Linked DNA regions of Sus scrofa. The protein of the gene in region 3 purifies or fractionates together with the protein of the main gene of each other region. This does not show direct contact. Links are inferred from orthologs where the notes say so. Each region holds a gene or a part of one and is shown on either strand. Other genes may lie near its edges.

Region 1 (6,149 bases), on a different chromosome or scaffold from region 3:
CACAGGAGGGTGTCCAGGAGGGGACTGGCATGATCCAATGGGCCCTGACACTAGGACAGGGTTGTGATGGGGGCACACCGCAGGGAAGAAGATACCTGAACCTCAGTCCTTGGCTTCAAAGGAGAAGCAGTCTTTCCACCCCTCTTCTTTAAGAAGTTGCCCCTTTGCAGAGCTTACCAGGGGGTGGGGGAGCACAAGGAAGGTCCAGGAGATTTATTAAAGTGCCTCCTGGGGTGGGATCCAGAGGGGGAGGGTGGTGGGCATCTGCAGAAGGGCCATCCAGGAGATCCAAGAGATCCAGGAGCTTCGAGGCCTGGGAGAGGGGGAGAAGGCAGAGAGTCAGGGCTGAGTAAGGAAGCTGGATCATGCTCTTCCTCCGGAGCTCCTCACCTCCTCACCTGGGGCTCTGTGGGGTTAGGGGCCGCTTCTTCTTCTTCGCTTTCCTTTGCTTTCTCATCGACCTGAGGGCCACCTCGCTCCATAAGAGGCATCTTTTCCAGGATGGCAGCCCTGGGAGGATGGAAGGGAGGTATAACCCTCTGGGCAGGCCCTGGGCTTTTCACACAGGAGGTGTGGGAGGAGGGTAAGAACGTGGAGAGTCCTGGGCTTAGGGTGGGTCAGAAGTGCCCCTCTGATTTCCTAAGAAGGCATGCTGCTGCTGTCTGAACAAGGAGGGTGGGAAGCCTGCTTGGCTTCGATGAACTGTGGGTGGGAGGCTCTGACTGGATGAGACCTTTGTGCCCAGAAAGGGACAATGGCCAAGGGGGGTGGGTCCCGCACTGCGGCTGGGTGGTGCGCACCTCATGTGGTCGTACTTCCGGAAGAGAGTGTTGTATTCCACCGCACGCTGCTGCAGCTCCACGTCCATGCAGCTCCCGTAGATGGACACCACCTGGCGGATGCGGCTGGGCCGCGTGGCGGTGTGCAAGTGGGAATGGCGCTCTGCCCCTGCCCCTCACCTCCAGGATGCGGCAGGGAAGGAAGAGGCTCCATGGAGCAGGGAGAGACCCACACTACTTGGCTCAAAAGAAAATACCTAAGGATTGCGGGGAAGTGGGGGGGGTGAGGGCCTGGAGAGAAACCAGAAACTGGGGGTGGGGGCACCGTGGAGAAAGGCTCTAGGAGAGCGGCTGGGCCCCAGTCTCACTTGTTGTCCCCACGGAGCCGGGTGCTGAGCTTCATGAGGGCTGTCAGGGCATATCCTCGGGTAGCTGGCAGGGACATGTGAGACTGCAGCACCCTTTCCAGCAATGCCAACACCTCCTCTTCCTCCACCTTTTGGAGGGACACAGGGAGTGACCCTGGGTTCAGCCCTGCCTCCCCTGACCCATCCCTCCAGTTTACCCCCAGTGCAGGACCCACCTGCAGGGGCTCAGCTTCCTCACAGCTCCCCTCCAGCAGGAGGTCCCCGTATTCCCCAATGCACCAGGCTGCCACCTGCACCAGCGGTTGCTGCATGGGGTAAGAAACGTGCTGGGCCAGCGTCTGGGTCCCCTCCTCACTTCCAGACCCTGTGACATCCCTTTAGGTAGTGCAGAGATGGTGGAGTTTAGAGGAGAGGGGAAAAGGGAAGGCCTTCAGCACAGGGAGCTGTTACAGAGCGGGTTTTGTTAATTTCTTGACGCCTCTGTCCTGGCTCCTGGGCTTCCTCTGCCCTCTGGTGGCCAAGTATCAGAACTACATGGCCCAGGATGGACCTAGAGATTATCATACTAAGTGAAGTCAAAGACAAATATTAAATAATATCACTTATATGTGGAATCTAAAAAATAATACAAATGAATCTATACACAAAACAAAAACAGATGCACAGGCACAGAAAACAAACTTATGGTTACCAAAGGGAAAAGGAAGGGGGGTGGGATAAATTAGGAGTTTGGGGATTAACAGACACACTACTATATATAAAAGGGAGAAACAGGAGTTCCCGTTGTGGTGCAGTGGTTAACGAATCTGACTGGGAACCATGAGGTTACGGGTTCGGTCCCTGCCCTTGCTCAGTGGGTTAACGATCTGGTGTTGCCGTGAGCTGTGGTGTAGGTTGCAGACGCGGCTCGGATCCCGCGTTGCTGTGGCCCTGGTGTAGGCCGGTGGCTACAGCTCTGATTGGACCCTTAGCCTGGGAACCTCCATGTGCCGTGGGAGCGGCCCAAGAAATAGCAAAAAGGAAAAAAAAAAAAAAGAGAAACAAGGACCTACTATATGTAAAGCTCAGGGAACTGTATGAAATATCTTTTTTCCTTTTTAGGGCTGCACCTGCAGCATATGGAAGTTCCCAGGTTAGAGATCGAATTGGAGCTGCAGCTGCTGGTCTACACCACAGCCAGGGCAACACCAGATCCAAGCCATGTCTGCAACTTACACCGCAGCTTATGGCAACGGTGGATCTTCAACCCACTGAGCAAGGCCAGGGATCAAACCCACATGTTCATGGACACTATGCGGAGTTCTTAAACTGCTGAGCCACAATGGGAACTCCCACATTCAATATATTGTAATAATCTATAATGGTAAAGAATCTGAAGAAAAAAAGATATATAACTAAATCACTTTGATGGACACCTGAAACTAACACAATATAAATCAGCCTTATTTCAACTTTAAAAAATATCCTAGAATAGGGAATTCCTGTTGTGGCTCTGCAGGTTAAGAACTCGACATAGTGTCTGTAAGGATGTAGGTTCAGTCCCTGGCCTTGTTCAGTGGGTTAAGGATCTGGTATTCCCACAAGCTGCAGTGTAAGTCACAGATGTGGCTCAGATATGGTGTTGTCATGCTGTGGTATAGACAGCAGCTTCAACTCCAATTCAACCCCTAGCCTGGGAACTTCCATAGGCCACAGGTACCACCTTAACAACAACAACAAAAAACTACATGGCTTAACCACAAGGGGTGCAGCGATGATGAGGAAGTGAGGGAGTTATCCCTTGAGGGAGAGATGGGTGGTTTCCTACCCTACTTAAGTAATCTGGAAAAGGGGGCTACAGTATAGACACTGGCTGGCATCTGTGAATTCACTCAGTATTCAAGGTAATAACAAAACCTAATGCATGTAGGAAGTGTTTTTATCTATCTCACTTGACCAAGACCACTCTGGCAGGTAGGCTCAGTAGGATGCTGAGGACACCTAGCATGAAGTTAAGTGAGTCGTCTGTGGTTGCACAGACAGTAGTATCAGAACCAGGACAGGAGTCCAGGTGTTCTAACTAAAAACAGGGATCTGCCCTTGAGTGTCTCTTCTGCTAAGCAGAGAGCTGTGACCTTGAAGGAAAAACAATTAGGAATCAGGTGTAGGAAGCAAGTGGCCCAGGAAAGGCTGGGGGATGCGGTGAGGGGTGGGCAGCCCTGGGCCTAGTGGTGGAGCAGTACCTGAGAGATGTCCTTGGCCAGTGCGCTGTAGAGGCGGCGCACAGAGTAGGCGTGGAGCTCCTGGGCACCCCCAATCAGCTGGGTCAGGTTGGCTACCGCATCATCACGCACATAGGCGCCTGCCTGGAGGGGTGAACGTGACCGAGTCAGCGTGGTAACCCCCGCCTGCTCCCGCCCAGCTCAGCCCAGCCCCTGCCTCACCGTTGTCAGTACATGCAGGATGGTGTCTATGTGCCACCGCTTGGATGGGGCAAACCTAGGGGACATGTGGCTCTTCAGTCCTGGTGCTGAGCCACCATGGATTCCACCCTCTCTGTCTCCTGGGCACCCATCCGCTCACCTCTCAGCCGCCAGCAGGATGCCTGAGGCACAGGTGGCCCGCAGATCAGGGGGGCAGGACTCCAGAAAGCCCTGCAGCTCCTGGGTCATGGCTCGCACATTGGAGCTGTTCACCAGAGCCAGGCTCAGTTCCAGGGCCCGCCTGGCAGGAGGAGTGTGTGTTTATACAAGGCAGCCTAGGTCACCCCATGACATGCCACAGGCCCCCTTCCCCAGTCCCCTTTCTCCAGCTGCTCTGAGCTGGTCTGGATCTTGGGCAATGGGACCTCTGTCCTGCTCACCGGCTGAGGGAAGCATCGGGGTCCCGCAGACAGTCCACCACGGTGGGCCGGTGCCGCTGCACAGCGCTGTGGTCAGACTGCACCAGCCGCAGCAGGGACATCAGCGCTACGTACCTGTCAGAGCGGGCGAGGCCCTATCACACCCTGGCCATCAGGCCCCTCCCCATCCCATCCTGCCCTGGGTCTAAGAATCTGGAGGAAGGAGGGCAGAGGGCCAAGGGCACAGCCCACCTGGGCCTGTTACCTAATGTTCCTGTCACTGTTGAGCAGGAAGCGGCCAAGAATGTTGACAGCTAGAACCTATGGGAGGCAGAGGTTGGGGACAGTCAGGGAAGGAGCAACCTGCTCACTCAGGAGTAGGGAGTGCATGGCACAGGGTGACAGGGATGAGGAGAGACTAGGGAACAGGACGGTCAGCCTGGTGGGGGTGAGGGGAGAGGGGCCGAGGGGGAGAGGTGGGGGGATGGTACCCGCAGGCCTGCTGCTGAGCGAATGTCCAGGATGGTGAGGACCGTCTCAAAGAGGACTGCGCTGCCCGCATTTCGGCTGGTGTTCGTGTTTGTGGCTACCTGTGTGGATGGGAGCGAAGAGGCAGCTCTAAGGGGTCTGTCCTCTCCTCAGGTCTCTGGATATCATCCCTTAATCCTCTAACAAAGTTCCCCAAAAGACAGGATTAAGAGGTGGAGTAAAGAGTTCCCATCTTAGCACAGCAGAGGAAATGAATCCGACTAGGGTTGCAGGTTCAATCCTTGGCCTCGCTCAGTGGGTTAAGGGTCCGGCGTTGCCGTGAGGTGTGGTGTAGGTCACAGACGTGGCTCAGATCTGGTGTTGCTGTGGCTCTGGCATAGGCCGGCAGCAATAGCTCTGATAGACCCATAGTCTGGGAACCTCCATCTGCCATGGGTGCAGCCCTAAAAAGACAAAAGACAACAACAAAAAGATGGTGGAGTAGAAGGACTGGAGCTTACCTTCTCTCATAAAAACAAAACTACAACCAACTGCTGAACAACCTTCAACCAAATGGACGATGGCAAACTTTCAAAAAAGATATCCTACTCCAGAAGACAAAGAGGAGGCCACATCAAGATGATAAGAGGGGTAATTACTCAATATAAGCAACCCCATATCCACCAGGTGGGCAGCTCACAGACTGGAAAGTAACTGGATCACAGAGACTCACCTACGGGAGTGAGAGTTTTTTGTTTTGTTTTGTTTTGTTTTCCTTTTTAGGGCCATACCCATGGCATGTGGAGGTTCCCAGGCTAGGGGTCCAACTGGAGCTACAGCTGCTGGACTATGCCATAGCCACAGCACCATCAGATCTGAGCCACATCTGCGACCTACACCACAGCTCACAAAAATGCCAGATCCTTAACCCACTGAGTGAGGCCAGGGATTGAACCCGCAACCTCATGGTTCCTAGTCAAGATTCATTTCTGCTGTGCCATGACAGGAATTCCTGGGAGTGAGAATTCTGAGCATCAAGTCAGGTCCCCATGACTGGGGATCTGGCATTGGGAAAAGGAGCCCCTGGAGCATCTGGCTAGTGGAGCTTGTGAGCAGGGGCTCTACGGGACTGGGGGAAACAGAGACCTCATTCTTGAAAGATGCAGACAGGCTTTCATGTACACTGGGTCCCAGGCAAAGCAGGGACTCCATAGGAATCTGGGTCAGACCTGACTGTAGTTCTTGGAGGATCTCCTGGGAAAATGGGGTGACTGTGGCTCGTTGTTGGGGAAGGACATTGGAGGCAAGGTTCTCTGGAATATTCATCAGCATGTGTTCCTCTAGAGGTGGCCATTTTGGGAAAATATGGTCCCACATCAGCTGAGAAGCCCCAGGCCAAACAATAATCCAGTTGGGATCACAGCCCCACCTATCAGTAAGAAGCTGCCTAAAGACCTCCCCCAGGCAAATGCCATTTCTAATCTCACCCAGAGGGTGAGATTCTAACCCCACCCACCAGAGGGATAAGAATAAGCTCCACCTACCAGTTGGCAGGCATCAGTTCCTCCCATCAGGAAGCCTACAGCAAGCCCCCATACTAACTGGGAGGCAGGGTTGTGGGGGCGGGGGGGGGGGGGGGGGGGAGGGGGGGGAGAATGACATCAGAAGCAAGAGAGGCTACAACTCTATTGTCTGCAAAAAGGAGACCACACC
Region 2 (6,680 bases), on a different chromosome or scaffold from region 3:
ATGACCTTCAAACTGAGGCTTGAGGGGACAGGGGACAGGTGCGATAGAGGCAGAGGGACCAGTGTGGTTGAAGCCTTGGGGCGGGGAGTGCAGCCCATGGGAAACCTAGGAGTGTGGTTAGGTGGAGTGAGAGTAGCCTTGGAGCTGGGGCTGCAGGCCCCGGATAAGAGGACAAAGGCAGGAGCCAGGACAGATTGGAAGATGGCAAGCAACACTGAGGTGACAACCCTTACCCCCTGCTGCTGAGCCTGACTCCACAATTCCTTCCTCACAATGAGTGAGGGGGCCTTCTTAGAAGTCGAAGGTCAGATCAGATCTCTCCCCTGTTGAAAGTGCCATCTACCCCAGCCTCCCTTCAAACAGAACAAGCCACAAGTCCATCTCTATGGCTGTCTGGCTCTTCACAGCCCCTCCAACGCCTCTCCATCCATGTTCCCTGGGCTCACCCCTTTCCAGCATCCCTGGCCAGCACTCTTGCTCTCTCTGAGCAATGTGCATCTGCTCCTGCTTCAGGGCTTCTGCACTTGCAGTTCCCTCTGTCCAGAATGCTCTGCCCTAGACCTTCTCAGTTCTTAAGCCTCAGCTCAGAGGGCACCTCCTCTGAGAAGTCTTCCCTGCGTACCCTGGCTGAGATCATATCCTATCCCTTTCTACTCCCAACCCCACTTTATCATCACTGCCCACATCACCATTGCATTATATATTCATATCCTTATTTATCATCTGTTGCTTCTACTAAAGTCTAACACTCTTTGAGAACAGACCACTTTACGGCTGTGTCTCAGCACCCACAACAGAGCCTGGCCCTTAGGAGCTTCTCAGTAAATGTCTGTGCAAGTGAATGTGGTGGTGACAAAAAGGAGGCCAGGATAATGCCCAGGTCTCCCACCTGGGCAGCTGCATGGATGGTAACGTCACCCACTCAGAGAGAGCAGGGTGGGGTGTGAAGATGAGCTCGTTTTGGGAAATGCTGAGTTTGCAGTGCCTGTGAGACCTTCAAGGTGTCCTGGAGACTGGTGGGTCTCCAGTTCAGTGCTCTGGACTGGTGTACAAATTTGAGAGTTATTGGCACAGTGACATAAATCAAAGCCTGCCCCCAAGGAGAGTGACAGCATGGGAGGCACGCTAGGCCTGAACCTGAGGAGCTGGCCTCTGGTGGTGGTGGGGGGGGGGTGCAGCACACATTCAGAGAAAGAGGGGAAAACAGAGAGCCAATGGAAGCCTTCTGAGGAGGAGCGTGGCAGGTGGTGATGGAAGTTGCAGAGAAGTGAGAAAGATAAGGGGCAGAGAAATGTCCGTGGAGGGTTTTCTATCTGCTGAAAGTGGTCACGCTGGTTTCCTTGGTGATCAGAGGCTCTGGCTGTCAGGTAGACGAGTGGTTGTGAATGTATTGATGTGCCATTATCTTATTTTTGATTTAATGGAGTCTGCGCAGAAGGCCAACATTCAAAACATGAGGTCCGTGGGGCAGGGTGAGGGGGTGGGGGGCGGAGGATAATAAATAGCATGATGGTTACTCAGGACAGGAGGCTGCCTCTGGAGCTTCCTGAAAGGCATGTCTGATTATGCTTCTCCCAGGCTATGGTCTCCTCATGGTGGCTTTTCCTTCTTGAGATAAAATAGTCCCTTCTGTCCTGCCCTCCTGTTTGGACATCCTCAATACCCATGGCCTTCTTGATGCCATCTCCGAGGCTCCAGCACCAACTAGGACTTCTGGCTTGCCAGGCCCAATAGGCTGCCACTCACCCCTTGGGCCCACTGTGACACCTCCTTGTCCACCTGACTACCACCTGGTCACCTTCCCAGCTCTGGCCTCTCCTTCCTCCAGGAAGCCTTTCGTAACCACTTCTGCTGCCAGCCAAAACTAAGGTTGGGCAACTTCATTACCTGGGGCTTTGTCCTTGCCCTTGTTGCTAAGTACATCTGCCTATTTAGATCCATGTCTCTGTTTGGGTCTGTCAGCTTTCATGCACCTCCCCTGCCAGAGCTCGAGGTCCATGGGGACTAACATGGACTGTGGACCATGGGTGGTGCTGAGCTTGTCTTGAGCTCAGGGAGTTCACACACTTGCCCGAGGTCACGTAGCTGAGCAGCAGAGACAGGTTTTGAGCTCAGCCCTAACTCCTCAGGTCAACCCTGGACTTGGTGCATGTGAGGTGCTCATGAAATGTTTGCTGAAGAAACAAGTGATGTGAGCAGGCAGTCTGCGGCACTGCTGCGGACACGGTGACCATGGCAGAAACAAGAACATGTGCTACCAAGACACAGGGAACACTGCACCCTCCCAGTCCCTGGTGTGCCCTGTGCCCTCTAAGAAGGCTGGGGAAGGAAGCCTGGCCCAGGGCCTGTTGACTTTGGGTGGCCTCCAAGGCAGGCAACCCACTCAAGGGGCTCTGGGAAAGTGCTGGGGGTGGGGACTGGGGTGGCAAGGGACAGTCACTTTACCTCTTCACTCCCTACTGCTTCTGCGCTACTCCTGTTCCCTCCGCCTAGGCCTGGCACCCACTAACTCATCCATGAGGGGCCTGTTTTAATGTTGTTAGTCCTGTCTTTTCTTATTATTCCCCAATGAAAGAGGCCAGTTGCCTTCTAGAAGGAATGGACTTGGGGGGAAGACAGTAGGCCTCCTCTGAAAGCTTTGCAATCCCTCCTTTAAGAACTTTTCCCTGAAACCCCTGGGAAAAGCACCGAGGTTCTAGTTATGTCCAATTCCTCCATCATGTCTCAGCTGGGTTTGTCACTCCCCCTGGGAAGCCCTCCCTGACCCCCAGCGGAGGTGGACTTTCCTATTACATCCTCACTGCTCCACAACTTATATTTATTTGTGCTTTTTGAGATCAGTGTCCCTCTCGCCCATCAGATTGTGAGCTCCAGAAGGACAGGGACAGACTCTGATTTTGCTCTCCAAAGGCAACCCAAAGGTTAGCACCCTGCCCAGCACTTCGTAGATATTCCCCAAATACCAGCTGAATGAACAAATGATTCTGGGTTCCACTCCCAGACCTGCCACTTCTCTGTGACTGACCAGTGTGACCTTAGGCAGGTTGCATTTCCTCTCTGTGCCTCAGTTTCTCCCTCTGTAAAACAGCATTCCCACCACCCACCTCACCTAACCCTTATAACTCAATGTTACAATGAATGTTAAGAAACCCCTACAAGGACTGCTACAGAAAAGTCGCTGGATAAACAGAAGCTTCCGAGCTCTCGGAGAGCGGGACTGGCCTGAGGGCACAGTGTCCCCGCCACGCCTCACCACCTCCGGTCAAGGGTCGCCCAGCCCCGCGGCGTCAGGCCTGGCTTACATGCCGGCAGCGGCCCGCGCTCCTAGCGGCCTCGGGTTCCCCGGGACCCCCACGGAGGCCGGAGCTCATTGCCCACAGAGGTGAGGATGGGGGTCGTGCACGCGTTTACCTTGCAACGGCCGCAGCCCACCGCGTTACCTAGCAACAAGGCAGGACTCACAGACAGAAGACACCTTCTCGGTTACCTACCAACAGGGTAGAGCCCTCAGGTGAGGCCAAAGCTTCAAAGACCAGGGAGGCTCCCATTGGCCGGCTACCTAGCAACAGGGTGGGTCCCCAGGGGCGAGGCCCCGGCCAGTTGCCTGGCAACACCGAGGGTGGGGAGCCATCAGTACCTTGCCCTTCAGGTCCAGCACGTAGACGGCACTGGCGGACATGGCGGCTGCAAAAACCCTCGGCACTGGCCGAAGGCGGCGGCGACAGCGGTGACTGCCAGGCGGTGAGCCAGGCCGGGCGCACCCGAGACAGTTCCTCTCCACTTCCGGCCCGGGGAGTAGCGCGCGGACCGTTAGGTCTGGCCGTGGACGCGCTGCCAAAGCGCAGGCGCAAGGCGCCATGTGCGCAGGCGCAATATTCCCGATAAGGCCTTATTTTCCGCTCCTCCCTCAAGTATCCCGGAAGTAAGCTCTTAGGGGAGGGGCGGGGAGGGGCGGGGAGGGGCGGGGCCAAGCCGGGCGGACGGCGGAAGAGCAACTCTCTAGCTGCCTGGTTGGACGGCGAATGGCAGCTGGGAAAACTCATGTCGCTGGAAAATCCCACTTGGTGGGCCAAACTAGGTGAGAGATCCTGGTGGTGGAACCCACCGAGGGCCCAGCCATGTGGAACTCATAGTTTGGTGGGGAAGGCTGGGGAACAAATACATAGACACCAATTGTGATACACTTTATAAGGAGGGATAAGGTGGTGGTTACTTGGAAAGAACTCAAACTCTCTGAATGGCAATCGAGCCTCATCAACAGTAAGTTCCTGTCACCTGTCAGTGCTAACATTTGGTAAACAAGCGTGCAGTTTATTGCCTGAAATGATCTGAAAACCACGCCTCACTGAACCTAGGCAAAAAGGTGATTTATTTCTGTAGGTAGTGGTCACTGTGAGTAATGCAAATTGTGACTCCTGATTCATCTAATTGAATTATACCTTGTTTGCTTTTATGAATACTCGGCCTTTGGAGAAATGCTGCATTCTGTCCCAGTGAACCATCACAATGCCCTGGGCCCCAGGCCCTGCACTATCAGAACCATTTACCCCGGCTGCCTGCCTCTTACTTTTATCTTCCTTACTGCCTCCATTTTGGGTTTTGAGAGTTAGTTTTTGCAACTTTGTGGTTATATACCTTCTACTTAAGGTAGAGATGTAAGTGCAAGAAAATCCAGAGAAGAAAACTAGAACCTTTAAAGATTACCAGTGAATCCTGGGCATAAAGCAGCTGAGAAGCTTTTTGACACCGTCTCTTAAGCAATCTGATTATACCTAGCCTCACTCTGCCCAAATTATGTTTTTAGGAAAAAAGTGTCTTTTTTTTTCTTAAATTACAAAACTGTACATTGCACTGAAGAAATCAGGAAATGCCAAAAAGTATAAAGAAATCCACATGGGAGCGGTAACCCCTCTCATTATGGAGGATTTCCTTTCAGACTTGCTCTGGGCATTTTATTATTTTTTTCTCTCTGTGAGATGTAAATGTTCTACAATGGCTCTCAGGAGCACTTACCTTATCTAGACCATCTTTATTTTAGCTCCTGAGACTGAAGGAAAAAAAAGGAAGAGGGGGGAAGGAGAAGGGCTTTTCCACTCAAGTGGAAACACTGACATCTCTGGTTCTGCTTTATGTAAAAATTAACTTGTAAATGAGTTCTCTTTAACTGACTTAAAAGTAAGCGACGCTGATATTTGGCCTCTGTGCACCAAGGCAGAAGTGAATCTCAGAGACAGAGTTTTGGGTGAAATAGAAAAGAATAGCTTTTGGGAGTTCCCTTGTGGCACAACATGTTAAGGATCTGGCATTGTCACTGCTGTGGCTTGGGTTTGATCCCTGGCCTGGGAACTTCCACATGCCAAGGGCATGGCCAAAAAGTAAATAAAAATTCTTCCCCCCCCCCCCAAAAAAAAAAAGAAAAAAGAAAAAGAATAGCTCTATTGCTTTGCCAGGCAAAGGGGACCACAGTGGACTAATGCCCTCAAAAAACTATGTCCCTGCTCTGGGCATTTTAGATACAGTATAATGCAGTATCAAGGCAAGGATGGAGCTGGGAGGACAAGTCTTTCGAGGAAACAAAAACTCCAACATGCCAATACTGTCACAATAAACACGCAACACAAAAATTACTTGTAACTTCCTTTTCAGTGCATGTGGAGGAATTTGAATCACATCTGAATTTCATCCTTTGTATTTAATGTATAAGCCAGATTTGTCCTGTGCAACATCTCAGAAAAGACCATATTTACTGTGGTAGACAGTGCTTCTCAAACTTTGCTGTGCAGTGGGGTCACTTGGGGAGCTCTGAAAAATCTCCGTGATGGAACCCCAACCCCAGGCAGCCCCAGTAATTAATGCACCCCAGGAGAGTCCAACGTACATATTTTGAGGACCATTGTGGTAGACTGAAACAGTGATGGCCCTCAGTAAACCGTCTCCTGCTGTTCGTGCTCTTGTGCAGTTCCCTCCCAGAGTGGGTTTGGCAATGTGACTTGTGTTAGCCAATGGAATAGGTTACTTCAGTGAAGGGAGATTCTAGAGGACCTTCTGGCCCCAGGCAAGTCAGCATAGCTCACACATGAACTGAACTATACTACGTGGGGTAGAACCATCCAGCTGAGCATGGTCAACCCAAGAATCCTGAGAGACTAATCCTATTGTTTTAAGTCACCCCATTTTGAGGTGGGTGAATAGGCAGTTGGAAACACATGTCACCTCTTCTCCAAATTGAAGGTGAACAGTCACTTTGCAGTATGTATACTTTGTGATAGTCCAAAAGGCAGCATTTCTAGTGATAATCAAACAGCTTGTAATTAAGATACTCAGACATCTATTTAATAACTGTTTTTTTGCTTTATTCTGCATTTCACATATGACAGTCCCAAACCCAACACTGTATTTTTCTCTGGGACTTTGTTAATGCTTTCAGCATCTATGTCAACACACTTCTCCCCGAGAACATTTGCAGGTTAATCCTCTTTTGATGGGTACATGTAGGCTCTCAAAGATCCTGGCTCTCCAGCACAGGAAACTAGGTCCTCTCAATTGCCCCATGTCTGTCTGTGCTGGGGCTCTGCCTTGCTCCCATCACCCCTGAGGTGTCCTTAGGCCAGGAATGCCAAACATGTTATGTACCAACTCTGAATAAATACAGGGGGGCTGCTTGGAGCCCAGGGTTGAGG
Region 3 (6,219 bases):
TTTTTTTCCATAGCACAAGGAAGTTCCTGGGCCAGGGACTGAATCTGAGCTGCAGCTGCAACCTCTGTTACAGCTGTGGCAATGCCAGATCCTTTAAACCACCCCGCCAGGCCAAGGATTGAACCCATGTCTCCGCAGCAACCCGAGCCACTGCAGTCGGATTTTTAACCCACTGTGCCACAGGGGGAACTCCTACAAATGTTTTAAGGCAAATGTAATTAATCAGGAAATGATGATCTTGGAGGAGATACCAGGATCTGATAGATCGGAATACAGTTCCATAATAAATATAAAAGTGACCAAGGGAAGGAACATAAATGAAAAATTCCTAATTTCTGACCCTGTTTTGACTGAATTTTTAGAAAAGCCTGATTAAATCTCCCAATGACATGTCTGCAATCAATTAATAAACGACCATGGCAAACTGCACACACGGAAAGGGGGCTGTACTCATTTCACTACTGAACAGCAGATGGTATTAGGGCTGTCAACAAAATACTTCACTTTTGCAGGCACCTTAACCACTGTTTTGGTAACTCAAGATCATTAAATGAACAAAGCATGGTCTCATATTTTATATATGTATGGTCCAGATGATGTCATCACCGCTTCAAACAATCCCCACAACTGACCTAGTCAGTGACTGATGCAGAGGGGTTATGGAGGGCTCGCCACTCTCCTGATTGAGGCCAACATTTAAGAAGTTAAAATACAGAAGATCTACTCTGAGTTAAAGCCTCCTTTAATAATAAATTACCTTAATGAAACGTTACATTTTTTTTTTTACAATGACTAGCTCCTTCTCCTCATGCTAATGAACTTTCTATTTGATTAAAACCACAATTATTACTAAAGCATAATTCAACTTGGTACCTGAATTAAGGTATCATTAAGTTTTTAGGAAAAGGCCACCTAATCCATGAAACTTTTAACTTCAGAAATGGAAGATACAGAAGCATCAAATACACAATTAACCCAAGACAGCTGTGCCAATTAGAAAAGGAAGGGGGTTTAATCAATGGTTGGCAGAATATGGTTTGTTATTTAAGAGAAGTATAGAGAAGTAGAAGTACTTTTTAGTTTTGCTAACACAAAACTAGAGGATTCTACAAAAAGTGTAATTACAACACTATCATTTGCTTGGCTACATTTGCACTTAATGGACATGAGGTGAAAATATGAACCAACTTGGAATGAAAATGTCATAATCTCACAGTCAACTCCTGATTATCTATACTAATAATGAGAAAAGGGGTTATCTTAAATAATTCAGAACAATGGATAGAGAGTTCTCAAATTACTGTTACCTTTCCCATTTTAATCTGTGCTCTAAAGGTTTAGACTCTAGTGTTCTGGGGTTCAAAAATGGGCCACTATTAGGGTAGACCATCCATCCATAGATAACTGAGTTGATGTGACTGACACATATTCCAATCAATAAACTGACCACGGACAGTACATGCCAAGCATGCTTCAGGGTAATTTTGGAAATTGTAAAAATGAGGGAAGATGACTGAGACTTCCCTAGGAAGAGCAAAACATGCCAGTGTTTAGTCAAGAGAACCGTGAGTAGCTTACCTCCTGCAGTAGATCGGCCTGCTCAATTGCTTTAAGAACATTTTTCTTGGATGTTTCCTGAACTTCTCCGCCCAAAAGAAACTCATCCAAAATAAAATAAGCCTTCTCAAAATTAAAGATGATATCAAGTTCACACACCTGAAAAGCAAAAAAAAAAAAAAATATATATATATATACACACATAAACTGAAGAAAGCAATAGATACTTATCTATCAAGTAGTCAATAAAATCTGACCAAAATGAAGAAATCTTAATTCTTTCTAAAAATTGCAATCCTGCTAAGCATCACTGATTTAGTCAGCTTAATTTTCAAATCTCAAGGACTTGAAAAATACAATGCCTACAAGCTAAGAAAGACCACACTCTGAAAGCTCCTAGCAAGCTCAACTTAATAATTTTCTACTCAAACTAATCTTTTGAAATATGTATTTCTGGCTAATATGATTATAACTGCTAACCAAATCTAAATTCTATACTAAGCACTTCCAGTATATTAGTCTTTATAGTTGGACTCCTTTCTATTTCACTATTTTAAACCTCATTCTCACTAGCATAATTAAGTGAATAGGTCTGTGGGGTCAAGCAATTCTGGCAATTAACTGACTATGCACACTGACAAGAAATAGAGTTATTCCTTCCCTTTCCTGCACTTAGTTTCAAATAGAATCCCAAAGACAATCAAATAATAAACTTGTGACAGAAAAGGTTAAAAAAAATATACCATGGCGTTCAATTTCCTAAAACAAAATACTACTCACACTGCCAAAATACTTGTCAAGTAATTCCACATAACGATGAATTATTTCCAGGGTAATTAGTTCATTGTCCTGATCCTCAATAGCACAGCAAAAATACAGACTGGCATATCTGTAACAAAAAAAATTTACCATATAATCATCTTTAATAAAATATATTTTCATATCCTATTGTGAAAGACCCCAAGCTTATACAAGTTATTTCCTCTTATACAACAAATTGTTTCTCTCCTAGACTATAAAAGTAATAAATGCACAAAAGAGAAATTTTGAAAAGTACAGGCAAGCAAAAAAGAAAAAAAAAAAAATCTCACTATCTAGGAAATCAACTTATTTTTGCTCTTCTCCCATTCAGGCTCCTTTCTGTGAATATTCTAAAAAAGCTGACCCAGGTTGTTCTGAAGTTTACTTAAAACAAAATATACCAGGTGACTAATTCAAACTATAAGTAAACAAGGAAGAAGATAAACTCTTCAACTGAAGGACTTATTGAAGATATTGCCAATGTGAAGTCAATATTCTGGAACATTTTATGGAAGTGTAATATACAGACAGAGAAGACCACAAGTCATAAATGTACAGTTTGATGAGTTTTCAAAGTGAACCTACCTGTATACCAGCATCTGGATGAAGAAACAATTATTACTGAACCCCCGAAGCTTCTCATGCAGCCTCTCCAGGTCACAACCTCCCACCCCTAAGGGTAACTACTCTCTTAACTTCTAACAGCATAAAATTATTTTTCAAAGGAGGTTTATAGGATTGTGAAATAAACCTCAAGAAAAAAACAACAGTTCTAAGTAATCACAGAAATTAGAGAAAGACAACAGGGGAAATTGAGACACACCCTCAAATGTTCCACATTCCACTTTATTAAAGTTTAGGTTATTTACCCTTAAAGAAGTAATATGGTTGAAAACCCAATTCTCCAAATTAGGATTCTAGAGCATGGGAGAAGGTTATACTTGGCCTAAGGAAGCCAAAACTTACTAACACACAACTTTAAGGCATAAGGAACTATGACCTAACCAAGTCCTCTGAGGAGGATTCAGAGTATTTCAAATGGTTTAAATGTATTTAAGGCTTCTGAAAAGAAACAAAATAAAGACCTAAGACATTCTAAAGTCTCAGCTGCCACTGTAATTTTCACACTGAGGAGCATTTAAGAGAGTTTTAGAAAACACGATGGGCAATTACTACTCATAGCATTAATGTAAAATAATACACAAACACACACAGTCTCAGTTTTGAAATTCAATGAATTCCTGCTCTTCAGTATGAGAATTACTTGGATTTTCCTAATACTCTATTAATTTCAATATTATCAAAAACATTCCATCTTATTGGATCTTTCCAACAGGAAGCACCATCATCCTTGATTACGGAAGGAAAAAAAAAGACGTCACAGAGTACAGGGCCTGTTAAGTGGTTGTACTGAGACAAGAAATCTGATCTTCAGACCTAACTCCAGGCCTTTTTTCACTCTACTGTACTGAATCCCTTGTCATACACAGACTTTTTGCCATGTCCATTCTGTCCAACTGCTACGTTCACTATTTTATTTTATTTTTTTATTTTTTTGTCTTTTTGCCATTTCTTGGGCTGCTCCTGCGGCATATGGGAGGTTCCCAGGCTAGGGGTCTAATCGGAGCTGAAGCCACCAGCCTACGCCAGAGCCACAGCAACGCGGGATCCGAGCCACATCTGTGACCTACACCACAGCTCACGGCAACACCGGATCGTTAACCCACTGAGCAAGGGCAGGGATTGAACCCGCAACCTCATGGTTCCTAATCGGATTCGTTAACCACTGCGCCACGACGGGAACTCCCCACTAAGTTATTTTAAATGGTGGGTTTCCTGCAGTCTTAGAGAGAAGGCATTCAAACATGGTCATTTATCACCATAAAGGATGTAACAGGGCACCACCTCCAACTTTATTAACAAAGTGCTTCCTCTCCTTCTTAGCGCTATCCTGTTTTATCTCTTTAAAAGGCAATGGGACATTTCTGCTGCCAAGTAGGAGGGGGGAGGGAGTGGGATGGACTGGGAGTTTGGGCTTGTTAGATACAAACTACTACCTTTACAATGGATAAGCAGTGAGGTCCTACTGTACAGCACAGGGAACTATATCCAATTTCTTGGGATAGAACATGATGGAAGATAATATAAGAAAAGGAATGTATGTATGTATGACTGGGTCACTTTGCTGTATAGCAGAAATTGGAACAAAACTGTAAATCAACCATTCAACCATACTTTAATAAAAAAGATGTGCACCCCCACACCAAAAGAGGCAGATAAGGAAGTCCCCTTGTGGCACAGTGAGTTCAAGATCTGGCAGGTTGCAAAAAAAAAAAAAAAAAAAAAGAGAGAGAGAAAGATAAAAACCAGAGAGGACAATCTAACATGAACAGCGTATTAAATAATTTCATTAGAATTTACTAGCAGTTCCTGTAGTGGCTCAGCAGTAACAAACCTGACTAGTATCCAGGAGGAAATGGGTTCGATTCTTGGTCTTGCTCAGTGGGTTAAGGATCCGGTGCTGCCATGACCTGTGGTATAGGTAACAGACGTGGCTCGGATCTCGAGTTGCTGTGGCTGCGGTGTAGACCAGCAGCTACAACTCTGATTCAACCCCTAGTCTGGGAACCTCCATATGCCGCAGGTGCGGCCCTAAAAACACAAAAATAAACAACTGAAAAAAGAAATTTGTTAATAGTCAATGTTGGGTAAAATTCCTTTTACTTTTAATTTCAATTTCTTCCATGCTTTTAGGCAATCTAATGCTTTCACCATCTTTGCTCTTTATCCACAGCATTGCCTCTTTACTTCCAAATAAACAGCACTTAAACACTAGTCAAAGGTCCTAGACTGTATGAAACATTCAGAATTAATGTTTATTAATTAATGAACATATTAATTTAAATATCACCAGGACTGATTATGTCTAAGCACTGACATGATATTTTAAAAACCCTGCAACACTATCTAAATGTTTGCATTCACTCAGAATGCAAAGAGAACCATCAAATTAAATGAACTCTTCATTATAGGTGAATATCCAGTTATCAAGATTATAAGAAGGCTTCTCTTTCCAGAAAGCCTAAGAAAGAAAACAGAGGTATAGTAACAGGTAACATTCATTGGAGTCCTCACTCTGAATATAGCAATAAATGTTAGCTAAGGCCTTAGCATAATTTACCCTTTTAATCCTCACAAAACCCTCCCTTCCAGAAAGATATTGTTATTATCTGCATTTGCTGGAGACTCAGGATTAATTGAATAACCTTCCCAGGAACAGTGATTTGACTCTAGAGCCCAAGTTTTATATTAAAAACTATATAGCCCAGAACTATATTAAATAAAGTAATCCTGCACCTGGCAAAAATTAAAACACATTCAAAGCAATATTTCACATGCTCTGAAGAGGGAGAGAAATAAAAATTGTTATACTGATTTAGTAAAAGATTACCAGAAGGTGAAGTATACTATTTTTAGAACCAAGTGGTTTTTAAAAATTCAATAATGAGCTCATGTTGTTCTCTAAGTGCATATTTGTAAGTCTAAATCTGAAGTAAAATTATTAATAGACTAGTAAGAAAGGTATGTTTAGTTGTTTTTAGCAGAGTAGATTAAGGCTTACTCTAATTACTGGCACTCAGAGAACATCTGAAAGTGCCTATTCTTACATTCAAAACACATGACTTCTCCAGTTTGCTAAATATCAGCTGACTGTGGGTGAATGTAACCAAATGGTTCTCAGTATTCTCCTGGTGTGTCATTATAAATTCCTTTGTTAGTAAAGAGAATCAATGCAGTACTCTTGGACAAGTTCTTAAGCTAGTAATTTGTAGATGTGTATTTTTAAATTAATTTTAAGAC
Region 4 (6,219 bases), on a different chromosome or scaffold from region 3:
CAGAGGCCAGGGCTAGTAGGGAGGGTTTGCTTTGACATCAATTAACCCCTGGGATGCCAGGTGGGCGATCTAGGAGGAGCAGGGACAAATACTTGGTGACACAAAGGTCAAACCGTACCCCTTCAGGCTCATCCCCCATCTCCAAGCAGAAGCAGGCAGGGTGATGAGAACAGGCAGCCACATGCAGAGAGAAAAGCCAGGAAAGAAGACACAGAGAGACAAGAGAGGGAAAGAGGGAAAAGATTAGTCACTACTGCTCCACCCAAAAGGGCCTAAGGCAAGGCTGTGCCGGGCCTGGAGGGGCCCAGACTGTCTCTAAAAGGGCACTAATCCTGGGGCTCACCCGACCCTTGTCCTGTGCCAGAGCACCCCCTACCCTTTCTTGTGCTGCAGCCTTGGGTACCAGAGCCAGGCATGGCCAAGTGACAAGGGCCCTACTGCCCCCTCCACCTGGCTCTATCAGCTGCCTAAAGAAGTCCCAGGGAGACATCTAGGCCAGTCCTCCCACCTCCTTTCACAGGAGAGGAGGGACTGTCCCTGGCCTCTCATGGGCTTCTCCCTGGCCTGCTAGGCTGCTATTCCCAGTCGAGGGTGTGGGATAAGTGGACATAGGCATGGCTCCTGCAGGCTTACAAGGCCAAGGTGCCTGTGCGACCACTCTGGAGAAGGGGCTAGGACAGGCCCTACACAGCTGCGGGTCTCTTGGGATTCAGCAGCCCAGCAAGGGACTAAATTCTGTGCCTGGCACTTAGCAGCTGTGTACTCTTGAAAGGAAGGTCACCTGACCTCTTTAAGCCTCAGTTTCTCACGCATTTGTAGGGAGCTATGTGACCACCGTTGCTGGCAAACTGTACCTGAAGCCCTTGATTGGAATCTAGCAGAGGGTGTTCAATGATCGCTCCTCTGAGATCAATTATTAACATCACACAGAGGGGCCCCAGGACGTACCAGGCTGTCGAGGCCGCCGCCAAGAAGGTCCACAGCTCCCATTTGCACCGAGGAGGTGGCCAGTGGGGGGCCACTCACCGGAGGGCCGAGGTCCAGGTTGAGGAGGTCGCCCAGCAAGTCACCCTGGGTGGGGATGACATCCAGCTGCTCTCCAGGGGGTGCCCCAGCAGGGGCCGTCTCAGGACTCTCCGTGCTCTCACTCCTGCCAGGACATGGAGGAGAGGTTCAGCAGAGTGGGGGGTCAGGCTATCTCAGGGAGGCCAGAGTCCCCACTCTCTAAGATCCACCCCCAGTCTATATGGCCTTCTTCCTCCCTCTTCCCACGTCTCATCCATCTTTTTGGCTCTCAAGAGATCCAACTTCACAAGCTGAATGAAGGGAGGGCCATCTGCATTCCCACCACTCAGCCCACTCTAAACAGAAGACCAGGAGTTCCCGTCATGGCGCGGTGGAAATGAATCCGACTAGGAACCATGAGGTTGTGGGTTCAACCCCTGGCCTCACTCAGTGGGCTAAGGATTCAGTGTTGCCATGAGCTGTGGTGGAGGTCACAGATGCGGTTCGGATCCTGCGTTGCTATGGCTGTGGTTTAGGCCAGCAGCTACAGCTCCGATTGGACCCCTAGCCTGGGAACTTCCATATGCTGTGGGTGCGGCCCTAAAATGACAAAAGACAAAATAAATAAATAGATAGATAGATAAATAAATAAATAAACAGAAGACTAGATGCTGGTCCCCAGAGAACTGGACAACCAGACCAATAAGCCACTGGAAACGGCAGAGGAGGAAGACAAGAAGAATGGGGCTCTGGAGTCAGACTGAATCGGGTCTGAGCCCAGCTATGCTGCCTGGGATGCTGCACCAGGCACTCAAGCTCTCTATGCCTGTTGTCCCTGTCTGTGAAGTGGGGACATCTCTCAGAGCTGCTGTCACCCAGTCAACACCTGGTGTACAGTAAGCATTCGATAGAACGTCACTAGAACTAACTTTCCTCAGACTCAGGCCTGAGTGCCTGTGCTAGAACTGAGGAGGCAGGTGGGAAGGTTGAGGCTGGCGACTGGCCCACTTCACTCACGAGGCGGTGCGGGGTGGCAGGCTCTTGTGCACGACGCCCCGGCCCCCCTCCACAAAGGCGCTGGGTGGCTTGTGGTAGACAGAGGCCAGTGTGCCGATGTAGCAGATAAGCTCGTCCAGCAGCGTAGGTTCAATGAGGTCTGTCTCTTCTGAGATGAGTGGCTTCTCAGCCAGCACCACCTCCTTGGCAGCTACAGGGTCCGTGGAGAGGAGGCGCCAGTAGATGTAGCCTCGGTCGCGCAGGTCCGGGTTGTCCGAGTCCTGGGAGATGATGAGGAGCCCATGAATCTCACAGCAACCAGGTGAGGGGAAGGTGGGGGAGCCTCTCCCATAGTCCCATGACACAGTGTGATGAGCACAGGGCTGCTCATGACAGACCTGAGAGCCCCTGGGGCCTGTCCCTAAACCACCTGAACAGACCTGGCCCAGCCCACTGGTTTCCACGCTGGCCTGGCTGCGAGTAGGCCACCCCACCCGTTTCCACTCCCCACCCTCTCCAGGGCCTGCCCGTCTGGCTTATGGACTTCCGCCTCCTGTTATGGTCTGGCCCATGTGCTCCCGCCACACCTTGATTTGTCTGTGACTGAGCTCCCTGAGCAGGGATCCTGGATTGCTCTGGAGCCAAACCCCAGGTCTTTTAGGGGCAAGACCACCCAGGTCTGGCTTCTTGGACTAAAGCTCCCTCTGTGGAGCAAGGGCTGTGCACCCACCTGAGTGGCCAAGCTGAGGACCTGCTGCACTAGCTCCTGGGTCTCTGTCGGCTTCTTTAGAAAGAGTTTCACGATGGCTGTCAGCAGCTGCAGCTGGACCTGCAGGATGACAGAGAGGAGTCGAGGAAGAAGCAGTGTGACTGGGGATAGCAGGAAACCAGATAAGGACCCCAAAGAGGGGAAAAGGTATTCAAAGGCTGAGAATGGCTTTCCTGGGTTTGGGGTTGGCTATGCAAACAGGCCAAGGCCAGCAGGGGGTGCTAGTAGTGCAGAGTAGCCTTGACCTTGGCATCATGGCTCAGGAAGGAGCTGGCCATGGCACTATCTGGCAGCCTCAGGCAGGAGGGGGGCTGCCACCCAGCTCTAGGGTCCCAGAAACCCTCCCAGGCTCCAGGCCCACAGTGCCTTTAGGAGCTCAGAGAGGCAACATGTGTGCCTGGTATGCTTATTAAAGATCATCTGTCACCAAAGGGAGAGGGTGCCAGAGAAGCCCAGCGGACTGGATCAGCAGGGCCCACAGAGCCAGTGTGTCACTGAGGAACGCTCTCAGGGAGCGGGAACCATTCCTGCCCAGCCCTCCATCAGCCCATGTCACCCAATGCTGCCTTTGCCTGAATATGCCTCCCAGGCCCCCACACTGGTGCTACCCCGCAGTATTACAAAGACTTTCCAGCCCCTGGGCTGTTCTGTAGAGAGAACCCTTGAAGGCAGGAATGGCATCTGCCACTGCTCATCCCTGGTTACTGTTCATTCTAGTGCCTGGTGCATAACAGGCACTTAAAAACCTGCTGACCTCTGAAAGGTCAATTCTCTGCACAGAGCCCTTAGCCCCATCTCACTTTTGTCAGCCCTGGGACAAGAGGACAGCCTGAACCTCCTGAGCCTCAACCGTGCCAGGGACAGCCTGCAGCAGAAAGGTGGGAAAGGGGCTAGCAGCACCTCCTAGGCCTGTGGTGCAGGAGGGCACTTACAACAAAAACAAATGGCTTAACTGCCTTGCTAGGCAGGGCAGGCTGCCAGTGGTATGTGGGATTGAACAGATGCAGTTGGTTTCTCAGACTAAGTATCTAGAGTCCTTGTAATTTGGTGACACATGGGCAAAGGGCAGAGGAGCAGGTGGCTGCTTCCAGGATGGGAGGTGGCTCAGTGACTGGCTTCTAGACCTGGTTCAAGCACCCCTGGCCAGGTAGCCTAGCGAAAACCATCTATTCTCAGGTGGTGAAGGAGAGGAATCTCTGCTTCAGGGGGGATTCTTGTGAGTTTTTCCTCTTTTTTTTGGCTGCCCTGCAGCATATAGAGCTCTCGGGCCAGGGATCAGATCTGAGTCGCTGCTGCAACTTAAGCTGCAGCTGTGGCAATGCCAGATCCTTAACCCACTGTGCCAGGCCAGGGATTGAACCTATGTTCCAGAGCTCCCAATACACCACCAATTCCTCTGCACCACAGGGGGAACTCCTCTTGTGAGCCTAGAAGACAGCAGCTAATGGCTGCCTACTGGGAGCCAGAGTTCAATCACATCTCATTTGAATTCTGACTCAGCATATGGAGGTGCCTAGGCTAAGGTTGCATCAGAGCTATAGCTGCTGGCCTATGCCACACCCACAGCAACGCCAGATCCGAGCTGCATCTGCAACCTACACCACAGCTCACGGCAACGTCGAATCCTTTAACCCACTGAGCGAGGACAGGGATTGAACCTGCAACCTCATGGTTTCTAGTCAGATTCGTTTCCACTGAGCCACGATGGGAACTCCCAAAATTGAAACCAAACCAGAAACTTTGTGTGTCTTTAACATAAACCATCATAGACTGTCCTCACAGGTCCCCCTTAGGTATTCCAGTGCGGGAGGCAAACGGCTACACTTGGCACCCACACGTCACCTCACTGCCTGTCCACATGGTCAGTGCAGTGTTAGGAGGGCACTTCCCCAAGTCGGCTACTCGACCTCTCACCTGGGTGCTCTCATCATGGAAGCCTTCCAAGAAGCTTTCCAGCAGCTCGTCCGCGTTGTCTATCCGCTCGGCGTACTCGCCCACAATCCAGATCATGGCCGCCCGGGCCTCGGGCTCGTCAAGAGAGTCCAAGTTCTCGCACAGTGTGGCGATCACACTCTCGTACCTAGAGACCAGGGCGCGGCTGGCACATAAGCACTGAGAGAGCCTGGGCTGCCCAAGGGAGACCCAGGAAGGGGCAAGAGAGACAGACCCCAGAGGTCCCAAGAGTGTGGTAAAAGGATTTGAGTTTTCTCTGTTACATTTTAGTTCTCATCTGGCAGCTCAGGAGAAGTAAGAAAAGATAAAGGGTTTCTTTTGAGAACGCTGTTCTCAGCAGAGGGGAGAGGCTCCTCCTGGCTTTTCCTCCCACCACCCCTGTTCCCAGCACCCTCACAGGGAGAGGCAGCCACGTACTTGTTGGGGTACTTGCGGAAGATGTCCTTGATGACCACGATGGCTTCCTGGACCACATAGTTGACCTTGGTCTGGATGAGATCGAGCAGCGTGCTCACACAGCGCTCAGCAGATTGCTATGTGGGAAGAGGAGAGTGTGGGTAAGGCCTGCACCCATCTCCAACAGAGCCTCTGACCAGCATGCCTTGGTCAAGGGCTCAGTCACACTTTGCCCACCTTCCTTTTCACAGCAGGAAAACAGAACACTCTCCGCAGGTAACAGGTGGGAGACTGAGTACAAAATGATGGTTCTGGGATGGCAGGGACACAGGGAGAGAGAATTAGACTGAGGAGAAGGCCAGGAGAGTGTCTGGGAGCAGGGAAGGCCTTTGGAGCTCTTCCAGGCTAAGCCCTGAGGTAGTGTGACAATACTACAGTCTGACCACATCTCACTTCTATTTGTTCCACAAAAGGGTTTCCTGTGACCAAAAACACTTAGGAAGTCTCTGCTTGGATCAGCCCTCCCCACACCCCCTGCTCCAAAACACTATGCTAATGCATGCTCTAGAGGAGAGATTTCTCAGATTGCCAAAGGGAAAACGTTTCAAGGGGCTGAAGTGACCAGCTGTCCCAGATCCTCTAGCTCTCAGTGAACTCATTTAAGGAGAGTAAGATCTGGAGTTTCCGTCGTGGCGCAGTGGTTAACGAATCCGACTAGGAACCATGAGGTTGAGGGTTCGATCCCTGGCCTTGCTCAGTGGGTTAAGGGTCCGGTGTTGCTGTGAGCTGTGGTGTAGGTCGCAGACACGGCTCGGATCCCGAGTTGCTATGGCTCTGGTGTAGGCCGGCAGCTACAGCTCCAATTCGACCCTTAGCCTGGGAACCTCCATATGCCATGGGAGCAGCCCTAGATAAGGCAAACAAACAAACAAACAAATAAATAAATAAACAAAAATAAGGAGAGTAAGATCAGTGGTCAAGGAGAATTTCCACAGGCAGAGAATGAGAGAGATGAAACAGTAGGACACAGGGGCCTGAATGACCCTTGGGAATTTGGCAAAAAGGCACAAGGACAGCTGAATCATGACACTTGCTGAAAT
Region 5 (6,219 bases), on a different chromosome or scaffold from region 3:
ACGCTGTATGAATTTAATTTATATAACACTCTTGAAATGACAAAAGTATAGTAATGGAAAACAAACATCCCAGTAGTTGCCAGGGGTTAGGTCTAGGGTGAGTGTCTAACTATAAAGAGAAAGCAAAAAGGAGTTTTTTTTTGGGGTGATGGAACAGTTCTGTACCCTGACTGCGTCGGCGGTTATACGAATCTATGTATACGATAAAAATTTCACAGTACTTTCATAGATTTCATAAGTACACTCCTGAAACAGCAAGATAAGAGTAATGATGTAAGAACTGGTGAACATATGAATAAGGTCTATAGCTAATAGTATTGTACCAGCCATCAATTTCCTGGCTGAAAAGGTACTATGAGTGTAAGATGTTCCCCATGAGGAAAACTGGGTGAAAGATACATGGGAACTCTATGGACCATTTAAAAAACTTTTTGTTGTTGCTGTGGCTCTGATGTAGGCCAGCAGCTATAGCTCCGAGTAGACCCCTAGCCTGGGAACTTCCATATGCCACAGGTACAGCCCTAAAAAGACAAAAGACAAAAAAATAAATAAATAAAATAAAAATAAAAAACTTTTTATGAGTCTTAAAAGTTCAAAATAAAAAAGCTTCAAAACATTTTAAACAAACTATGTGATACTAAGAGGTCCTACTCAAAATTCTCACCATCCTTATAATGACTACAAAGAACAGGAAGGTAGGAAGTGCTGCAATATCTGCATTTTTTTTTTTTTTTTTGTCTTTTTTAGGGCCACACCTGCAGCATATGGAGGTTCCCAGGCTAGGGGTCCAACTGGAGCTACAGCTGCCAGCCTATGCCACAGCAACGCAGGATCCGAGCCACATCCGTGAGCTACACCACAGCTCAGGGCAACACTGGATCCTTAACCTGCTGAGCAAGGCCAGGGATGGAACCCGAGTCCTTATGGATGCAAGCCCAGTTCGTTAACCGATGAGCCACGATGGAACTCCGAGATACCTGAATTCTAAGCACAAGTCACTTACCATAATTTACGTGACTTTGAACACACGTCACTAAACATTCTTTTTTTTCCTTCTTTCCTTTTTTAGGGGCGCACTTGTGGCATAAGCAAGTTCCTGGGCTAGGGCTGAACTGGAGCTGCAGCTGTGGCTTATGCCAGATCCTTAACTCACTGAGTGAGACCAGGGATCAAACCCGCATCCTCACAGAGACAATGTTGGGTTCTTAACCTGCTGAATCATGACAGGAACTCTCACTAATCATTATCATTATTATTTTTTGTTTAGGGCTGCACCTGCAGCATATGGAAGTTCCCAGACTAGCTTGAATTGGAGCTGCAGCCACTGGCCTACACCACAGCCACGGCAACACTGGAGCCTTAACCCACTGAGGGAGGCCAGGGATCGAACCCACATCCCCATGGATACTAGTAGGGTTTGTCACCACTGAGCCACAACAGGAACTCCCCCAGTGTGGTATTAAAGGAAGGTTTCTGAAGTCCCCTTACAGACTGTGCCAAGTGTTTCCCCTCTTGCCTCAACTTTTCAATACACATTTAGGACATACAGTGCTGCTAAAGAAGGCTGGTGTGTCTAGGACTCCGATATCCTCAAGTCCAAAAGCAGGAACGAGCTTGAAATGAGCTAGGAAATCCATCCTCTAGCAGCTTGCTATAGCATACATACACAGATGTGCTGGATAAGACTAACCAGTACTAAGAAAGTGGCCATGTTTTGCGAGCAACTCTGTGTACACCAGGAGAGTCGGAGGCACTCTTGTTGCCAGAGGTATGGTGCCCATTGGATGGAGCAGGCAGTGCAAGCAGGAGGGTCTTCTAAGGAGGCAACTGGGGACTTCTTAACTGACTGATTGTTTTGGATATTTGGGGTCTCAAGCACCTCCACCAGGTCTTTCCAGGATGCTAAGAAAAATGAAAGGCTCTTACCTCCCTCCTTGAACCTATCTCACCCATTCTGAGAAAGGCCTCACCGTGTAATTGGGATTTCCTGGCTGGATACGTAGTTCGGCCAAAATCCAAATGCCGTTAGTAAGCTTCAGGGATTGGTACAGCATGTCTTGCCCTTCCACATTCCTCTTGGCAATAGTATAAACATTGTTGTTTTGCAACTTGCTGGAAACAGTGTCTAGAAACACAGATTCAAAGTTCAACACCTTTAGTTAAAATACCAAACAAATGTACCATGAGCCATGTGTGCCCAAGTCCTGACAAGCGTACCTTTCAGAAAGCCCTTCCCCCACAGGAGCAAAGAGTGAGGAAGAGGCTCCCAAAGTGCCTGCCTATCACATTCCAGGACAGAAAACAACACAGTGCAACCAAGCATTAGTGTAAGAATTACCTGTGGAGACGATGATGGGTCTAAGGAGGTGGTCATCTTTAGGTGCTAGACAGGCAAAAATGCACCAAAGAGAACAAAGATAGAAATGGGGGCATGGGAGTGTCACAGTGACTTCCTTGTCAGGAATCATTTCTGGAAGCTGGTCCCAGATCCATGGGGATACTGACAATCAAATCCACACCCCTCTCAAGTAGCTACTACTTCACCTGTGAGCCACTCTGGCCTCAAGTGCCAGGGTCAGGAAAATTGCAGTGTGGAAAGTTGCAGAAATCCTGCAAGTCAAATTTATTAATCTGGAGGTTTAAGTTTTTTTCTTTTTTTAAAAGTAGGCAAATGAGGAGTTCCCGTCGTGGCGCAGTGGTTAACGAATCCGACTAGGAACCATGAGGTTGCGGGTTCGGTCCCTGCCCTTGCTCAGTGGGTTAACGATCCGGTGTTGCCGTGAGCTGTGGTGTAGGTTGCAGATGGGGCTCGGATCGCGCATTGCTGTGGCTCTGGTGTAGGCCGGTGGCTACAGCTCTGATTAGACCCCTAGCCTGGGAACCTCCATATGCCGCGGGAGCGGCCCAAAGAAATAGCAAAAAGACAAAAAAAAAAAAAAAAGTAGGCAAATGATTTCTTAAGCCTGTGGCCCATACGATGCCCCAAATTAATAATGAAACAAACTGTCTCAACAAAAGACCGAAGTTGCCCAAGGATGGTTGCACCAAGGCCCTGGTAAGCCCCACTGCTGCTGCCAGTCAGAGTGGAGACCTTCATAGTCATGAACCCAGGGTAAGAACAGGTTGGTGTTCGGGGTCTTTGCTGTAATTACAGCATCAAAGAGACGTGTGAAATTCTAGTATTAAAGGTCATTTCTCTTTCCTTATTCTCTCATGCTAAAATGAGGTGCTGCAGCATCAGAGAAAGAGAACCTTTAAAAATAGAAGTGATAAACAATACTTTTTTGTCGATAGTATATTATGTTCACTTCTGGTGAGAATTCAAATTACTAAGGAACTAAATTCTTTCCACATAAAAGTCTGTCATATTTTATTGTGTTCTCTAGGGAAAGGATGCTGTGTTAGACGGTCTTTTTTGCACTCCTAGAGAGTAAGCTCTCTGAGCGCCGGGATCCTAGAGTTTTTCATTACTGTGCTTCCCACAGTATCTGGGACAGAATGGGTACCTGACTCAGGTTTTAGAGATGCTAGAATGTACACAATGCCACAGGTATTAAAACACACACACACACACACACATCTATTTACTTATTTTAATTTTATTGCAGTACAGTTGATTTACAATATTGTGTTAGTTTCAGGTGTAGAGCAAAGTGGTTCAGATCATTGTGTGTGTGTGTATGTATATGCACAAACACACATACACATTTCCAGGTTCTTTTTCCATTATACATTATTCTAAGATATTGAATATACAATTCCCTGGACTATACAGTAAATCCTTTTAATCTACTTTATAAATGGTAGTTTATATATATTAATCCCATACTCCTAATTTATCCCTTCTCCCCCTGCCCTCTCCCCTTGGTAACCATAATTTTTTTTTTTCTCTGTGTGTGAATCTAAAAACCATCTATTTAGATGTTGTCTAATTTTGGAGGTGGTTCTTGCCTTGATGCCTTCCTTCCATATTCAAACCACCGAGAGCTCAGGGGAGGAGGCACTAAAGCTCCTTCATTAAACAACTGCACCACACTCACTTGTGACTTAATTTCCCTCCTTTTATGTCTAAGGTTTTCACAAACACCAAGCAGAGTAGTTATAACTCAAGGACTGGCTCTCTTTGAGGAGCCAAAAAGTATATCTCAGGGTAGTTACATGCAAGACTGCTGGAGGACGTGGCCTGAATATGCTTTTTAATTACATTCTAGGGGGTCAGGCAGTTCTGGTTGTCACCTTGGTTCCCACAATGAAGGGCTCTCGCAGCTTAGACTGGGTTGCTAGGCAACATCACCAGCTGGAGTTTGGCTAATGCCTTCTGACAGGACTGTCTTTAACACAAGAGGGACTGCTTTAAGTTGTAAAAACCATTCCCAACTTTCAAGGCTCTTGCCCATTCCCAAGGAAACAGAAAATACACATAGTAGGAGCTTTTGGTAAAGTCCACCTTGTTGCATAGGTGCATGTTCTAGGCAATACATATGGCAAGGCCTCAAAGCCTAGACATCTCGTGATTTTACCACCTCAGTAAGAGATGACAGGCTAACAAATGGAAGCACACAAACACACATACGCACTCACCCCTTCCAGAAATAGAAAATGCAGCAAACAGCCAGGTAGCATAAGCACGTTGAATGAATGGATGTAACTTTAGTGTGCTTGGAAGCATTCTGGTTAGGAACCTGGCTCTGCTCCTGCTGAAGGGGCTGTACTGTGATTTCTAAGAGAAGGCTGAATGGAGGGAGAGTTCTATAACATGAGTATGTGTGAGTCAATTATTTTTATTATTATTATTTTTTGCTTTTTAGGGCCACACTTGTGGCACATGGAAGTTCCCAGGCTAGGGGTCGAATTGGAACTGTAGCCGCCAGCCTACACCACAGCCACAGCAACACGTGATCCCAGCAGAATCTGAGACCTACACCACAGCTCACAGCAAGGCCAGATCCTTAACCTACCGAGCAAGGTCAGGGATCGAACCTGCATCCTCATGGATACTAGTCGGATTCTTTTCCGCTGAGCCATGATGGGAACTCGTGTGTGAGTCAATTTTTATAAACCTTAGATATTAGCTGGGAGCTAGAGTGTATGTCAATGGCAGGATAATCAGACTCTACTAAATGAACCTATGAAGAATGACACTGGGAGCCAGATGTAAGGTGGCTTCCCAGCTAGATGGGATGTACTTCCTGATAAGGTATCACAGTTGTTTTCTTGCTGTTGTTGTTTTTTAAAGGATCTGAACTCCTTGGGAAACGATGGGATCTTACAGTTGTGAGACTCCGAGAACGAGAATGTAATGCTAAGATACTGCAATCTCCCCTAAAGGATAGTTTTAAAAGATGGTCAAACATAGTTACGCTGGCTTCAAGATGTGATTTCTTTTGGTTCATGTGTCTCCTACCACAAATTTGGCTTTGGGTCTGAGGCCTAAAATCTTAGAAGGTGTGATCTGGTCTTCCTTCCTTCACCTTCCAACTTTAGCTGTGGTCACACTTCTTCCAGCAGCCAGGAGGGTGAAGGTCCTCAGAGTGGGCAGGGGGAGCATTGGTACTCATTAGCAAGTTCAATACCATGATGCCCGCTGAAAAGAACACTTTTTACCACTTGAACAGCCAAACTATATTTAAATGCTGGCTGGCAAAGCATTTGCATTTATGAAATGTTCCAAAGAATGGGGAGAACCATGACCAAAAAAACCCCAGAACTTACCCTCACCTAGTCCCTGCACCAGAAGAAACATTTGTCCCTTACTAGACTGCTTAACTAGTGACTATACATACAGTATTTCTCTGAGCTTTTCACAGTATAATAAACACTTGATTTAAAAAAAAAAAAAAGGTTTGTGGACTGCCTGCCAGGAAGATTACTTTCTGGTTATGGCTAGAGATGCAACTACATCTTGTACACTTAAGACCGTGGTCCCAGATATGTGCTAACCCCAAATGCAGCTGTAACATAAGCTGTAAAACAGATTCATACAGACCACCTGAGCAGAAGAGATGAAGAGTGCTAGGAAGCCAGGAAATCCATACATTGGTGCCTTTCTGATTTAATATTTTCTAGTACTTACACAACTGGTGGCACCATAAACATCCTATCACACACCTACTAAGATCTGATTAATTATTAAGGTTAGGAAGAGGGTTTCTTTTCTTCTTTCACCTCTAGAAGAAACAGAAGAGCAAAAGTATGGAGTTCCCGTTGTGGCTCAGTGGT

Evidence for each region.
Region 1: the proteins of AP1S2 (region 3) and AP1G2 purify together in Homo sapiens (affinity purification with mass spectrometry; 3 studies listed by BioGRID and IntAct, counting the BioPlex papers as one, with this or other methods). This does not show direct contact. The link is inferred for Sus scrofa from reciprocal best matches to the Homo sapiens genes AP1S2 and AP1G2.
Region 2: the proteins of AP1S2 (region 3) and AP1M1 fractionate together in Homo sapiens (co-fractionation; 6 studies listed by BioGRID and IntAct, counting the BioPlex papers as one, with this or other methods). This does not show direct contact. The link is inferred for Sus scrofa from reciprocal best matches to the Homo sapiens genes AP1S2 and AP1M1.
Region 4: the proteins of AP1S2 (region 3) and AP1B1 purify together in Homo sapiens (affinity purification with mass spectrometry; 5 studies listed by BioGRID and IntAct, counting the BioPlex papers as one, with this or other methods). This does not show direct contact. The link is inferred for Sus scrofa from reciprocal best matches to the Homo sapiens genes AP1S2 and AP1B1.
Region 5: the proteins of AP1S2 (region 3) and AP2B1 purify together in Homo sapiens (affinity purification with mass spectrometry; 3 studies listed by BioGRID and IntAct, counting the BioPlex papers as one, with this or other methods). This does not show direct contact. The link is inferred for Sus scrofa from reciprocal best matches to the Homo sapiens genes AP1S2 and AP2B1.

Annotation. Positions count from the first base shown.
Region 1 is NC_010449.5:75,541,984-75,548,132, reverse strand, and holds part of AP1G2 (AP-1 complex subunit gamma-like 2), read right to left. Parts: intron 4,791-6,149; exon of another isoform or gene 4,559-4,790; coding exon 4,460-4,558; intron 4,290-4,459; coding exon 4,234-4,289; exon of another isoform or gene 4,221-4,233; intron 4,104-4,220; coding exon 3,990-4,103; intron 3,851-3,989; coding exon 3,710-3,850; intron 3,626-3,709; coding exon 3,571-3,625; intron 3,493-3,570; coding exon 3,370-3,492; intron 1,453-3,369; coding exon 1,363-1,452; intron 1,276-1,362; coding exon 1,148-1,275; intron 906-1,147; coding exon 801-905; intron 511-800; coding exon 399-510; intron 314-398; coding exon 178-313; intron 1-177.
Region 2 is NC_010444.4:61,382,297-61,388,976, forward strand, and holds the start of AP1M1 (AP-1 complex subunit mu-1), read right to left. Parts: upstream 3,833-6,680; 5' UTR 3,680-3,832; coding exon 3,638-3,679; intron 3,523-3,637; exon of another isoform or gene 3,412-3,522; intron 1-3,411. UniProt on the Homo sapiens protein: Subunit of clathrin-associated adaptor protein complex 1 that plays a role in protein sorting in the trans-Golgi network (TGN) and endosomes.
Region 3 is NC_010461.5:12,385,758-12,391,976, forward strand, and holds part of AP1S2 (AP-1 complex subunit sigma-2), read right to left. Parts: intron 2,447-6,219; coding exon 2,338-2,446; intron 1,717-2,337; coding exon 1,579-1,716; intron 1-1,578. UniProt on the Homo sapiens protein: Subunit of clathrin-associated adaptor protein complex 1 that plays a role in protein sorting in the late-Golgi/trans-Golgi network (TGN) and/or endosomes.
Region 4 is NC_010456.5:46,480,672-46,486,890, forward strand, and holds part of AP1B1 (AP-1 complex subunit beta-1), read right to left. Parts: intron 5,257-6,219; coding exon 5,141-5,256; intron 4,851-5,140; coding exon 4,685-4,850; intron 2,831-4,684; coding exon 2,732-2,830; intron 2,283-2,731; coding exon 2,023-2,282; intron 1,151-2,022; coding exon 949-1,150; intron 140-948; coding exon 119-139; intron 1-118. UniProt on the Homo sapiens protein: Subunit of clathrin-associated adaptor protein complex 1 that plays a role in protein sorting in the late-Golgi/trans-Golgi network (TGN) and/or endosomes.
Region 5 is NC_010454.4:39,806,640-39,812,858, forward strand, and holds part of AP2B1 (AP-2 complex subunit beta), read right to left. Parts: intron 2,126-6,219; coding exon 1,971-2,125; intron 1-1,970. UniProt on the Homo sapiens protein: Component of the adaptor protein complex 2 (AP-2). Adaptor protein complexes function in protein transport via transport vesicles in different membrane traffic pathways.